Arabidopsis thaliana: one gene and its partner. The protein of the gene in region 2 interacts with the protein of the main gene of each other region in a pairwise test. Each region holds a gene or a part of one and is shown on either strand. Other genes may lie near its edges.

Evidence for each region.
Region 1: the proteins of ATG2 (region 2) and AT5G10350 interact in a protein complementation assay, tested with the Arabidopsis thaliana proteins (one study listed by BioGRID).

What each region holds. Positions count from the first base shown.
Region 1 is NC_003076.8:3,253,391-3,260,546, reverse strand, and holds AT5G10350 (RNA-binding (RRM/RBD/RNP motifs) family protein), read left to right. Parts: upstream 1-2,735; 5' UTR 2,736-2,800; coding exon 2,801-2,911; intron 2,912-3,001; coding exon 3,002-3,104; intron 3,105-3,246; coding exon 3,247-3,317; exon of another isoform or gene 3,318-4,333; coding exon 4,334-4,525; intron 4,526-4,607; coding exon 4,608-4,735; coding exon of another isoform or gene 4,736-4,739; exon of another isoform or gene 4,740-4,824; coding exon 4,825-4,873; 3' UTR 4,874-5,311; downstream 5,312-7,156. Other genes in the region: EMB3010 (Ribosomal protein S6e), read left to right, coding at 405-410, 501-565, 858-915, 1,009-1,117, 1,215-1,487, 1,575-1,813; AT5G10340 (F-box family protein), read right to left, coding at 5,502-6,700. UniProt on the Arabidopsis thaliana protein: Involved in the 3'-end formation of mRNA precursors (pre-mRNA) by the addition of a poly(A) tail of 200-250 nt to the upstream cleavage product.
Region 2 is NC_003074.8:19,209,318-19,216,641, reverse strand, and holds ATG2 (metallopeptidase M24 family protein), read left to right. Parts: upstream 1-2,932; 5' UTR 2,933-3,073; coding exon 3,074-3,167; intron 3,168-3,276; coding exon 3,277-3,361; intron 3,362-3,456; coding exon 3,457-3,606; intron 3,607-3,698; coding exon 3,699-3,852; intron 3,853-3,943; exon of another isoform or gene 3,944-4,022; intron 4,023-4,338; coding exon 4,339-4,554; intron 4,555-4,639; coding exon 4,640-4,776; intron 4,777-4,862; coding exon 4,863-4,954; intron 4,955-5,015; coding exon 5,016-5,216; intron 5,217-5,304; coding exon 5,305-5,381; 3' UTR 5,382-5,615; downstream 5,616-7,324. Other genes in the region: G4 (UbiA prenyltransferase family protein), read left to right, coding at 1-51, 136-183, 279-341; EM1 (Stress induced protein), read right to left, coding at 1,181-1,521, 1,707-1,824; G1 (transmembrane protein G1P-related 1), read left to right, coding at 5,979-6,749. UniProt on the Arabidopsis thaliana protein: Binds RNA. Associates with 28S, 18S and 5.8S mature rRNAs, several rRNA precursors and probably U3 small nucleolar RNA. May be involved in regulation of intermediate and late steps of rRNA processing. May be involved in ribosome assembly.

The DNA of each region.
Region 1 (7,156 bases), on a different chromosome or scaffold from region 2:
TAGTTTGTAGTATTATATTTGAGTTCTCTAATTCTAATTTAAAATATATTTTCTACTATTTAAAAATTATTCTGATTTAATTTAATATTAGATAAATGTTTGCTCTCATTTTTATTTTCTATCTTATATTTTAATTAAGTTTAAATGAAATTTATAGTACTATTTATAAAAATTTAGAATTGTTGTCCATAACTTTTTTTTAACAATTTTTTGTCAATTGCCCAAATTTAATTATGGGCCCATAAAATGTAGGCCCAATTCAATTAAACCTACCTATTGGTTCTCCTATAAGTTGCTTCTCTCAACTTTCTCGCAAAACCCTAAAAGCTGAGCCGCGTCGAGAGCATTTTATATCTTCAATCATCTTACGCAGGCTGTTGTAGCAGCAGTGTCTATCGGAGACGATGAAGGTGGCTCCATCTTTTTCTTCTCATCAATTCTGTTCTCGTTTATCTCTTTGTTATTTCGTTTGATTCAATCGATTTTGGTTTGTGTCGCAGTTCAACGTCGCCAATCCGACCACCGGGTGTCAAAAGAAACTCGAGATCGATGACGATCAAAAACTGTAAGATCTTTGCTTTAAATCACATTTTCTTCATGGATTTGTTTACATTTGGCTTATTGAGTGTAGAGTGTGAACAATCTGCTATGAAGTTCGTAAAATTCTTTGAATCCAAACCTTTGAATCGTAGGATAGTTACTATTTCACACTGCTAGGATCTGTTTATAGCTGATGCATTACTGGAATCTATGATGTTTACTGCGTTGGTCTGATATATAACCAGTTCTGAATCTGAAAATCAACATTGTCGATTTTGGTAAAGATATTGAGTTTCATTTCTGTTGTTTTGATGCAGCCGCGCCTTTTTCGACAAGAGGCTCTCTCAGGAAGTTAGCGGAGATGCTCTAGGCGAGGTGAAATTTTTTCTCCTGGTTCAGTGTTTTTTTCTGATGTCTTGTGAGTTCAGTATACTTAACAGAATTGTGTGTGTTTTGAGCTATTTGCAGGAATTCAAGGGATACGTATTCAAGATCATGGGAGGATGTGACAAGCAAGGTTTCCCAATGAAACAAGGAGTTCTCACTCCAGGGCGTGTCCGTCTTTTGCTTCACCGAGGTACTAGATTCCACCCCATTGATAAAATTATACAGCTTCTCTTTTTTTCATTAATCTTCTGTGTTTTTTATTTATGTGATCTGGTTATTGTGTTTAGGTACTCCTTGTTTTAGAGGACACGGAAGGAGGACTGGAGAGAGGAGACGAAAGTCTGTCCGTGGTTGCATTGTGAGCCCTGACCTGTCTGTTCTTAACTTGGTCATTGTGAAGAAGGGTGTAAGTGATCTTCCCGGGCTTACCGACACTGAGAAGCCAAGAATGAGAGGTCCCAAGAGGGCATCAAAGATCCGCAAGTTGTTTAACCTTGGAAAAGAGGATGATGTGAGGAAGTACGTTAACACTTACCGCCGTACCTTCACAAACAAGAAGGGTAAGAAAATTAGATTCACTTAAAGAGATAATTGAAAACTGTTTATACGATTGATGATTTACTAATATATGAGGCTTCCATGTGCAGGCAAGAAGGTTAGCAAGGCTCCTAAGATCCAGAGGCTTGTGACTCCATTGACCCTCCAGAGGAAGAGAGCTAGAATTGCTGACAAGAAGAAGAGAATCGCCAAGGCTAACTCTGATGCAGCTGATTACCAGAAGCTTCTTGCCTCCAGACTAAAGGAGCAGCGTGATCGCCGTAGTGAAAGTTTGGCCAAGAAGAGGTCTAGACTCTCTTCTGCTCCTGCTAAACCCGTTGCTGCTTAAACTGCCTCAAGATTAAGAAATTTCTTTCTCTCTAGTTTGTTTCTGGTCGTATTTAAGTTGCTCCACAGACATGAGAACGCCATTTTGAACACTATTTTTGGTTTCTGTTTTGTGTCAACTTTTCAAGCCTTTTATTATATCAAAGTTTTGAACCTCTTAGTAGTACGTTTGTTATATTTAGTTCTTATTTATATGCCCGTTTGTTGATAGTAAATGACCAGATGTCTTCATTATTAGATAAACTGATGACCTACCTTTAAAGTGTTTTTTCCAAAAAGTGTAATGTTTTGAACCAAAACTCAATCTCGATTAAACTCTTTTAATATGGAGACCCGTCGCTGAAGACTGACTCCTTTCTTCAAGCTGGTGTTGATCGGAGACTATGGAGTCGGAGAATCGCTTCTACTGTCTCCTTATGCCATCTTCGCCGAAATCCTCTGTTTTACAACAGTGGTAAGTAAAAAACTAAAAAGGTTGGAAGAAGACGAAGAACTTTGCTTAACTGCAATTAAAATTTATTTATTTAACAAATGGCTGTAGATATGTTTTGGGGAAAAGTCATTCTTATCAATACCTTTGGAATAATTTGGATCAAACTGTATCATATTTTTGTGGATAATTTGTCTCTGATATAAATTAATCTGATCCATATTATGCAGTATTATTTCACAGACCTCTTAATTTGGTCCATAAATTTAATTTGATCCATGATATAATTTGATAAATTATTCACAAGCCTGTTTCTTCCATAATGTTTGGGGCCTATGATGGGCCGAATTGAATTTTGAAGAAAAATCAAAACCTTCAGATTCAGTTAGAGTGTTATGATAATGGGCTCTTGTAAGTTTGTAACCGAGGCCCAATACGAGACGACGTCGTTGTTTGCAATCGACCTATCTGGATCGGTAGGAAAAGTGTGCAAGTCGTTTTCATTCACCAAAGCGAAGCTTTATTCGTTTGCTTGAGCTCCGAAGAGTGGAAACAAAAATGGAGGAAGAAGAGCACGAGGTTTACGGTGGAGAAATCCCTGAAGTCGGCGATACGGATGTTCCCGATCCGGATATCGATATGTCTGCAGCCGATGAGGACGCCGTTACGGTCTACTTCTGCTTCGTTCGATTTTGATTTTGTTGTATATCGTGTGTATACATCTGTTTGATTTTTGGTGTTTTGATTTCATGGAATCAGGAGCTTGCTGAGATGAAGAGGAGATTAAAGGAGATGGAGGAAGAAGCTGCTGCGCTACGAGAGATGCAAGCAAAAGTCGAAAAAGAAATGGGAGCTACTCAAGGTTTTGTGACTCTTTCGTTTTTTTTTTGAATTCGTTTGCTCGAGACTATCTTTGAATTTGATATACTAGGAGGAATCTGTTGATTGTGTAGATTACTTTTAGGAAATTGAACTTCTGTTTCTTGCTTAACAATTTGTTTCAGATCCTGCTAGTATGGCTGCAAATCAAGAAGGAAAGGAGGAGGTGGATGCTCGATCAGTTTATGTTGGCAATGTAAGATAGCTTATTTTCTACTTCATGGTATCTCTTCTGTGCTTGAATCATTGTTTCATCTAAACGGCTTTGATCTGTTTGCCAATCTTAGTGTGGATTAGCTTAGGCTGACTATTTTGTTAACTTAAATTTCATCTTTGATAAAAGAACTGCTTGCAATTGTGTCTTAGCTTTGTTCTTTATCCCTTGAGATTACTGTTAGAATCTGTATCAAGAGGCTTTCTCTAAATTTAATGTTGTGAAGTAGGTTCTTTATTGTTTCTAGTTGAAGAGTTTGACCTCTATGTCCTATATAATCGCAGGGTTGTTCTCATAAATGAAGTTCTTAATAGCTCTGGGTTCTCAACTAAGTTTTGTGACTGTTTTGCTAGTTTCCTTGTTGTAGTGTTAAAATCATTCTTCCCGTGCAATTTGATGATAAAAAAGCTATAAAAAAAATGTTGAAAGTAAAAAGAAAAGAGAAGGAAAAAAATTTGAAAAAAAAAAAAAAAGATATAGCAGAAAAATGTGGAGAAAAATATTGCATGAGCTTGAAAAAAAAAAGAAGGATTTCTTGAGAGGAAAAAGGGAGTCTGAGTGAGTTGGGTGGGATTAGAAAGCAAGGTTTCTGTTATCCTTGAGGAGATGGTCTCTGAACTCTGAAGAGCTGGATCAAGATGCCAAGATGCTGGATGCTTTCTAAACAAGACCCAAAGCTCCGCAGGGAGGATACTTGGAGCTAATACAGGTTTGGTTGTTTGCGGATTTCGCGAGAGGCTGCAGTTTGATGCTGGCCTTTTATCATGTATTTTTGAACTCACGCTCATAAAATGAAGACTTTCATAGCGTTTATGTACCATACATAACTTAGGTCTAATGTTAGACATGGAAAATTGCTTTAGAACACACAAGTTTGTCTCTTGGCTTCCCTTAGTGGGGTGGTTAACTTATCTATCTGTTACGTTCTCAGTAAGTCATGGTTTTAGTTGTAATAAGAATGCTTGTGTTGTACTAAGACCTCATTATCCACCCTGCAGGTCGACTATGCCTGTACACCTGAAGAAGTGCAACTACATTTCCAAACATGCGGAACAGTCAACCGGGTAACCATTCTAATGGACAAGTTTGGACAGCCAAAGGGATTTGCTTATGTGGAGTTTGTAGAAGTGGAAGCCGTGCAAGAAGCTCTGCAGCTGAATGAATCAGAGCTTCATGGTCGTCAACTGAAGGTATCTTCTCGTACTAAGACCAATACTGAAGGAAATGGACAGTTCATTGATCTCAACTCTTCTCTTTTGGTTTTCATTTCAGGTCTCGCCTAAGCGAACCAATGTTCCTGGAATGAAACAGTATCATCCTGGGCGTTTCAACCCTTCAATGGGATACCGCTTTCGCAGACCCTTTGTGCCTCCGTATTTTTATTCCCCATATGGATACGGGTAAGTTTAAACTCTGCATATTTACCATCAGTTTATCACAAATGGCTTTCTCTTCTTCGTCTCACGAGACTCGGCAATGCCTCGTGCAGGAAGGCTCCTAGGTTCAGAAGGCCAATGCGGTACATGCCTTACCAATAGAAACCGTACCGGAATAAGAAGAACTATGACAGAGATGATGCCGAGGTCGTCCCTCCATTTCGAGCTTTATATATGAATATGACTTTGCTCGCACCTGAACTTAATTTTGAATCTGTCATGTACGGATGAGATTATAAGCTTTTGTTTCTTTAGATTATGATTATATTTGGTCGATATTACTTTCAGTTTATATCTTTGTTAGTACTTTCTTTCATCCAAAGGGGGCTAAATAAGTATACCAACAAGAAGATTGATGTTACGTAGAGAAGCCTTTGTAAGAAGCTATTATGTTTCCGCAAAAAATCCCTTAGTCAGAAGCTAACCTTTACTAATCAATGATGTATGGTATAATCAAATCCCTTATTCCTTATAGTATTTGTTATCTTTTCGGTTTGGAGAATCGATGATTACAGAGTAAAAAAAAGAATAATGTTTTTTCTTCTCGTCATTAGTACTTTTGATGTATGGTATAATCAAAACATTAAATTTATGAAAATTTGTAATGTGATGTTGATATTGATAAAACATAGTAATTCATAACCCAGTGAGTAAACTAATCAGAAACTAGAATGCTTGGACAAATAACGACCAAAAAAGAATGCTTGGACAAATAACCAATCATTCAAGTCTACAAAATAGAAATTAAACTCGGGAAATAACAAACAACAGTTGCACAGCGATTAGATGTGTAAGGCAAATCATAAGATTTGGTATCTGGATCATGTGTTAGGAATGCATCCCCGTGTGTACTATCATAAAACAATAACTTGTCCTTGTCCAAAACTGCTAGTGGGGTGAATGCGAATATGGCACTAAAGAACAAAGAAGAGGTGATAATGAGGTCTATGGAATATATTTGCTTCCATGTCTTGTGGTCTGAATCATCCAACGACCATATGACTTGGTTGGGCCACTTTTGCTCGGATACGCACAAACGATCACCGAGGTTGCACATGACGATATAATATTCATCAGAGACATTGAGAAAGGGAGCTTTAGAGATGACTTGGAACGTTTCGGAGTGAAGATCCAAAGACAAAACCATGGTTTCGCCCTCGTGTGACAAGGCAGTGAACCAGTGAAGTGACCCGTCTACATAAACAGGATCTTGGGTGTGAAGAATCAGATGAGGGGACGCGGGGAAAACGTACCTCCAAGCGTTGGTGGCAAAATCGAAAACTTCACAAGTAGTAGGCTTGTCATTTAGGTCTAACTCAGCGGAATTATATAACCAAACTGGCTTGTAAGTGCCACTGATTTTGTCTTTGCCAAATCCAGGAGTAGGGCATGCGACTTTAAAGCACTCGTGTCTCTCACCCTTGTCGGCAGCGACTAGTTGATAGTTGCATTTAGGGAAAGTTCGATGCCATCGAGTGGTGGGATTGACGACAATACTCGGCAGTTCATAGAAACTAAAGAGGCATATCAGACCATCACAGCTAGTATTGCAAACGAAGTACAACTTGTCCTCCCAAGGAGTAGGGATCTGAACAGAAGCTGCAGATGACTCCACCAAAAAAGTTCTCAGAGCTTCAAAGCTGCTTATGCTTGGATCTTGTTGACGAGCACAAGGATCATATAAGGACACCAAAAGCACATGTGGATCTCCTGATGATTGGCTAAGATGGTGGATCAACTGTCTTTCTTGGAAACTAGGGGATTGGATTGTAGACATCCATTGCTTCGATACAGACTTGAACTTGAGGAGGGTTTTCACATCAAGCCTCACCATTATATGATACTCTATCACATCGTGTGGTAACAATTCTTCCATACTTGTCTCTGAATCTCTCAATGTTATAGATTGAAGACAAGAGCCTCCGTATGCTTTATTTATAAACCAAACCTATCACCCTAGTCAGAGTCCGAGAAAAATAAAAGGGTAGATCAGTAAATCTAGAAACTGTTTTCTTTTTTTTTTTGATTTTATGAATTTGAGAAATCTTAAAATTTTAAACGGATTTCATCAAATCAGTATGATAAAAGTAAAATTTTCAAAAGGAAAAAGAAAAATAAATCTAATTCTACTAAACATTCGATTCAAACTTATCTTGATCTAATTATATTATTCATTTAATTTGAACTTGTTCCTATCTTATTTAATTACTCATTCGATTTAAACTTATCTTCGATCTAATCTATTATTCATTCGATCTGAATTTGTTCCGATCTAATTCTATTACAATTATGTCTTCTAACATCGTACGCTTAAATTTCTGTTTTTCATATTTGTATTTTTTTTCCCTATTTTTTCTTATTTTATAACAATTGCAAGTGCAATTA
Region 2 (7,324 bases):
TATTATGCGTTGGCGTTGGTTGCTTTGATCATTCCTCAGATTGTGTTCCAGGTAAAGACGTTAACAGTCTCACATTATAATTAATCAAATTCTTGTCACTCGTCTGATTGCTACACTCGCTTCTATAAACTGCAGTTTAAATACTTTCTCAAGGACCCTGTCAAATACGACGTCAAGTACCAGGTAAGTCAACTTAGTACACATGTTTGTGTTCTTTTGAAATATCTTTGAGAGGTCTCTTAATCAGAAGTTGCTTGAAACACTCATCTTGATTACAGGCAAGCGCGCAGCCATTCTTGGTGCTCGGAATATTTGTAACGGCATTAGCATCGCAACACTGAAAAAGGCGTATTTTGATGGGGTTTTGTCGAAAGCAGAGGTGTTGACACATCAAATGTGGGCAAGTGATGGCATCAACTAGTTTAAAAGATTTTGTAAAATGTATGTACCGTTATTACTAGAAACAACTCCTGTTGTATCAATTTAGCAAAACGGCTGAGAAATTGTAATTGATGTTACCGTATTTGCGCTCCATTTTTGCATTTCCTGCTCATATCGAGGATTGGGGTTTATGTTAGTTCTGTCACTTCTCTGCTTTCAGAATGTTTTTGTTTTCTGTAGTGGATTTTAACTATTTTCATCACTTTTTGTATTGATTCTAAACATGTATCCACATAAAAACAGTAATATACAAAAATGATACTTCCTCAAACTTTTTATAATCTAAATCTAACAACTAGCTAGTAACCCAACTAACTTCATACAATTAATTTGAGAAACTACAAAGACTAGACTATACATATGTTATTTAACAACTTGAAACTGTGTTATTACTACCTGATTTTTTTCTATTCTACAGCCATTTGATATGCTGCAATCTTAACATATCAAGTCTCACGTTGTTGGACACAACATACTATCACAAGTAAGACACGAAGTAAAACCAACCGGCAACCGCATTACATAACATAACCGCATACCATTTGAACGGTACAACACTGCCGTTAGTACAAGCCATACATAGTTATATCACACACATATAAAACACAAAAAACCTAAACGCGCTACATTAGACCCTAGTTAAAATCCACGCTGCCAAACACGGAACCTACAAGCAGGTTACTTATTAGATGATATATAACAGACTGTTGCAGCGGACACTAGTAGCTCGTAACTACTATCACTTGTTGGTGAACTTTGACTCATCGATCTCAATCCCTTCTTCCTCCGCACGCTCTCCACCAGATTTTTCCATCGTACTGAGTCCTCCTTTACGTCCCATCTCCTTATAACCCTCGTGCCCTAGCTGCTCCTTCCTCGCCTCTCCTCCTTTGTGTCCCATCTCCTGATAACCCTCGTGCCCTAGCTGCTCCTTCCTCGCCTCTCCACCTTTGTGACCCATCTCCTGATAACCCTCGTGCCCTAACTGCTCCTTCCTCGCCTCTCCACCTTTGTGACCGATCTCCTGATAACCTTCATGTCCTAGCTGCTCCTTCCTCGTCTGCCCTCCCTTGCTCCTTCCTAACAAGTGTACATACATGCATTCCATGAAACATGGAGATCATAGAGTAAACTTTAGGTTCGTAATAAGTAGATTAATCTTATCTTAAGATATTAAGATCTAATGTTTCTAGCCTTATAAAACCATTACTTACGAACTAAAGAAAATAAAAAGAGTGTGGAAAAGTTGTAATTTACGGCAATACCTTCAGCAAGATGCTCTTGAGCTTCGAGGCTGTGGCCACCGGTGCCACCTGGGACGACGGTCTCTCCTTGCTTCGCCTTCTCATCAAGCTCTTCTCTGCTCAGTTGCTTTGACGCCATTTTTTGAAGAAAAAAACACGAACGATATGTAATTAAGTAAGTTGCTTTTAATTTGGATCTATGTTCCGACACAGATACGGACGACGTAATTATTCCTATAAATAGAAACGTTTGTGTTCCAAAGGAAACAAAAGGAGAGAAAAAGTGAAGTGCTACGTGGAAGAGAAGACGCGGCGAGACTAGAAATAATGGGCTTTACGGAGATGACACGTTGATGCTTACTCAGTCAACTTGCTACAGTTATTAACGAGCTGCTTGACACGACTCCGATTAATCTTAATCCATTTTCTGTTTCCCCCAAGAAATCAAGATAATTACCCACATTTGGGATTTTTTATAAAACTGTTTTCCGTGTTAGGTCTTTTCAATATCAGTTAGATAGTACTATTATTTATCTATTTGAAATCTAAGTGCAATATTTCGGATAAATATGTTTTAAAGTTAAAAGTTTTATATTTATTCACATCATAAGAAAAATATAGGTGTTATTAGAAGAAGAGATTTATAAATCGATCACACATAATAACTGGGAAGAGAAGGTAGCTTCGAGGATTAGTTGGTTTACTTGTCGACAAAGTCATATCTACCATGTAATAATTAGGTCTTTTTCAAGTTTTGAGTTTGGAGACATTTATTTGAGTTTGACTTTGGTCTTATTATATGCTTGGGCTATTGTACACGTTTGACTCATGCTGATTAGAGTATGTATAGTTAAATATAATAATTAAAATGTTAGAATCTGGTGTGGATTAGACTTTCGCGACATTGTTGAAAATTTGTGAATGCATCTATCTAAAAGTTGGTTTAGTGGAGTTTCTATGTGCACAACTGAAGTACATCACTATATTTGGACAATATTGAATTATATTTGAATTTATTGTCTTGAAGAATAATTTGCAACATTACATACCAAATGTTGGCTCTCTTACGGAGAGCGTATAAGCGCCACTTGACGTGGGCTTATATGGGCCCGGTTAAGGGTAAATGTTTAGTGGCCACAATTCTGAAACAGCTTCCCTTCTTCGGCCCATACTGGAGTACAAAAGTAACGCAATTAAGAAAAAGCGTTACAGGATTAATCCAAAACGGCATCGTTAGAAGAAGAGAGCACACATAGCGAAAACCCTAGTACCTTTATTTGAGCCAACACTTTCATTTCTCTCCTTCTCCACCAGTTTTCCCCCAATCGCTCCTCCTTAAACCCTAACATTTTTGCTTCCCCTGTTTCGATTCTCGAGAGTTATCAGAGATGAGTTCGGACGATGAGAGAGACGAGAAGGAGCTGAGTCTTACCTCTCCTGAAGTCGTCACCAAGTACAAGAGCGCCGCTGAGATCGTTAACAGTAATACACCCTCTCTTTCTTCCTTTCTTGTTTTAAGTCCGATTTGGATTTAGGGTTTTGAAGGTGTAGCTTTATCGAGTATTGATTTCTGTTGGGTTTTCAATTGCAGAGGCGTTACAGGTTGTTTTAGCTGAATGCAAACCAAAAGCTAAGATTGTTGATATCTGTGAGAAAGGAGACTCTTTTATTAAAGAGTGAGTATATCTCAATTTGTTCTTAATGTAGATTCGACCTTGGATTACTCTTAGATATTTATGTGTTTGTTCTTTCTTCTGTTTTTGTATTAAAGGCAAACAGCAAGCATGTACAAGAATTCTAAGAAGAAGATTGAGAGAGGTGTTGCGTTCCCTACATGCATTTCTGTGAACAACACTGTTGGTCATTTTTCACCGCTTGCTAGTGATGAGTCTGTGTTGGAAGATGGTGACATGGTTAAAATGTAAGTTGTCTTCAAGTAATACCTGTTTTTAGATGTTTCTGTATGATTCACCTGTGTTATTTCTGATGTTGTTTTGCGTTTCTCAATTGCAGCGATATGGGATGTCATATTGATGGGTTCATTGCCCTTGTTGGTCACACACATGTTCTTCAAGAAGGGCCTCTTAGTGGGCGTAAGGCTGATGTTATCGCTGCCGCAAATACTGCAGCTGATGTTGCTCTAAGGCTCGTACGTCCTGGAAAAAAGGTATCATCAGTTTTACTCTTACATTAAACTTGAAACTATAGGCTTTTGGTACTATAACTGCCTCTTGAATGATTGTCAAGGTTTTACAAAACCCAGATGATGAACACTTAATAAATGGCTATGGATTATTATCCATATGATGCTTTTTTGTCATAGTTACTCTGATGGGATTTTTCTTATTCTGATTTTTAGTCTGATCCCTCGTTGGATTTACTATGAGATGTTGGAACTTTGTCTAAGGTTTTCCTCTCTTGGTCTTGCACGATGCTTTTTTTTTTTAGCGGACTTCAAATGTAAATTGTTTTGGGAAAAGATTTCTGGATGAAGACCGTAATTGTTATGGATTCGCATCCAAATGAGGCCGTAGTTACTCTGATGTGGGAAAGTTCTTTAAAATAAAGTTTCTTGCTACGAGTTTGTAGTTTCTTGTTTAGTACTACAACATATTGCAATCAAGACATTGATATTCTGTTTTTCTTATCGCAGAACACTGATGTAACTGAAGCTATTCAGAAGGTAGCTGCAGCTTATGACTGCAAAATTGTTGAAGGTGTTCTTTCCCACCAGCTGAAACAGCATGTGATAGATGGAAACAAGGTTGTGCTTAGTGTATCCAGCCCTGAAACAACTGTTGACGAAGTGGAATTTGAAGAGAATGAAGTCTATGCAATAGATATTGTGGCAAGTACTGGTGATGGCAAGGTAATTTCTTTTGTTTATCGCATCCCGATCACTATTGGTGAACCTTTGTCTATTGCCATTGTTCTCACAATCTTTGACTTTGCAGCCAAAGCTATTAGACGAGAAGCAAACAACTATTTACAAGAAAGATGAAAGTGTTAACTATCAGTTGAAGATGAAGGCCTCCAGATTCATAATCAGCGAAATTAAACAGAACTTCCCCCGTATGCCATTCACTGCAAGGTGTCTTTTGTACCTTCTGAAGCATTTTATATTCCTTAAACTATTATCTCACTTGCTAACGTTACCTGAGAGTATTATCAATACAGGTCACTGGAGGAGAAAAGGGCACGGCTTGGACTTGTGGAGTGTGTGAACCATGGTCATTTGCAACCATATCCTGTTCTTTACGAGAAGCCTGGTAAGGATGATGAAAGGGTTTTGAATCTATAAACCTCTTTTATCTGAATCTTGATATCAAGGCTCATGTCGTTTTGGTTTTCTACCAGGGGATTTTGTTGCTCAGATTAAGTTCACAGTTTTGCTGATGCCAAATGGATCAGATAGGATCACTTCACATACACTTCAGGAACTTCCTAAAAAGACCATCGAAGACCCTGAGATCAAAGGGTGGTTAGCTTTGGGCATCAAGAAGAAGAAAGGTGGTGGAAAGAAGAAGAAAGGTAAGAACTTAAAATAAATTTCCAGACTTTTACCTTATATGACGTGATCCACATGTTGATTAAAAAGGTTCAATTTGGTGTTTTGCAGCCCAAAAGGCGGGAGAGAAAGGAGAGGCTTCAACAGAGGCTGAGCCAATGGACGCAAGTAGTAATGCTCAAGAATGAGTAGGAAGATTTGTCTTTGTTTCTTTTAAAGAATTTTTGAAACTTGAGGTACCTCTTTCGTTGTATGTTTGGGTTTCAAGAGAGTCTCTTCTTAAACAAAAAAAAACAAACAATAGTTTACCACCTTTGTGCATATTTTTGCACAAAGCACTTTTCATCATCATTTCTTTGCTTGTCCTAATCTTATCTCATTCTCTAATCAAAAATACTTATCTGGTTTCAGGCTATAACAATAACTCTGTTTAGAAACACTTGTTACCAACAAACTACTCTTTGAATGTGTTTACGTGGTAAGGATTTGATCCCACAGAAGAGAAATATTTGTGACAGAAGAAAAAAACTCAGCTCTTCAATAATCGAAGCTTATACAGATTTTTGGATTGGTTGATTTTGAGATTGTAACGAATAGTAATCAGAATTTCACTTAAGAAATTGTGATTGAACCCTCTAAACCACAGAGAGGGTTCTTGACGTGGTCCATAGTTCTTCAGTGGGGCGGCTTGTGGCTTCTTTTTCATTTTTCCAGAAAACCCCATAAACCTCTCGCTCTCGGGAATTTGATTGATTCCCACGAGGAAAAATCAATCTTCCCGGAAAATGGCAGCTAGGTTATTGTTCCGTCGAAGTTCTCAAATCCTCCGATCAATTCAACGAAATCCTCAAATCTCATCGTCATTCGAATCACCACCTTGCCCGATTTTTCACTCATTGACCACCGCCTCACCAGATCCATCGCGATTATCATCCTTAACCTTCCTCCGATCTCTCTCCATCGCTCGTCGCGGTCCAACACGTCCTAAGAAAATCGATATCGGAGCCAAAGCGCGTCAGATGCAGAATCGCCGTTTATGGACCTACGCGCTAACCTTCAGCTGCATCGCCGGATTCGTAGTTATCGTCCTTAACCAATTTCAGGATCAGCTTGTCTTCTACCTAACGCCATCAGACGCTATGGAGAAATTCGCAGAGAATCCAACAAAGAACAAATTCAGACTCGGTGGTTTGGTTCTAGAAGGTAGCGTTGCGCAGCCGGCGGCGTCACAGGAGATGGAGTTTGTGATCACTGATCTGATCACTGATATTTTGGTTAGGTATAAAGGATCTTTGCCGGATCTGTTTAGGGAAGGTCATTCAGTTGTGGTTGAAGGATTCATTAAGCCGTATACAGATGAAGTAAGGAAGGAAGTTTCTACAAAACCTATTTCGAAGAAAGCTAGGAACCTCGATTGTTTCTTCTCGGCGACTGAAGTTTTGGCTAAGCATGATGAGAAGTATATGCCACAGGAAGTTGCGGCGGCGATTGAGAAGAATAAGAAAATTATTGAAGCGGCGGCGACTGAACAAGCTGCTGAAGTTGCGGCTTCTTAGATTGGTATAAACTTCATTCTTTTTAAGTTAATCAAAATTTTCCCCAAGTTCGAGCTTTTGGTGAGTATTGTTCATCTTATAAGGTTATATTTGATTATAGTTTCTGGAAAAGAGTAGGAAGATTGGAATGTTATATTCCTGGAAAACAGAGATTTGATTTTTGAGTCTATTTGAGAATTAAGTGGAGAAATGTGATACACTATACAATAGCTTTGTTTGATTCCACAAAGCTATAAGCTAATCTACTTTCTTGTTGTGTTGATCAAATAAAGAACACTTTGACGAGGGATCAAATATGCTGCTTGATTCATTGTGTTGTTGGATGTTTTGTTTGTTGTTGATGTGCACACAGATTAGAGAAGCTATGTTTTGTTGCTGCACACAGATTAGATTGATCTAGTGAATCTTATTAGCTTCATCAGGTCGTGGGTATATAATTGTAAACGTATCACCAAAGTTGTAGCTTGTGTGACCTTATTCTTATCATGACTAGGTACTATAGCCAAAAGAGTTGAACATACAGGTCTTTCAGAGCTTCCTCTTAGTTGTTCTGGAGGTTCCAAGCTCTTTCTTTG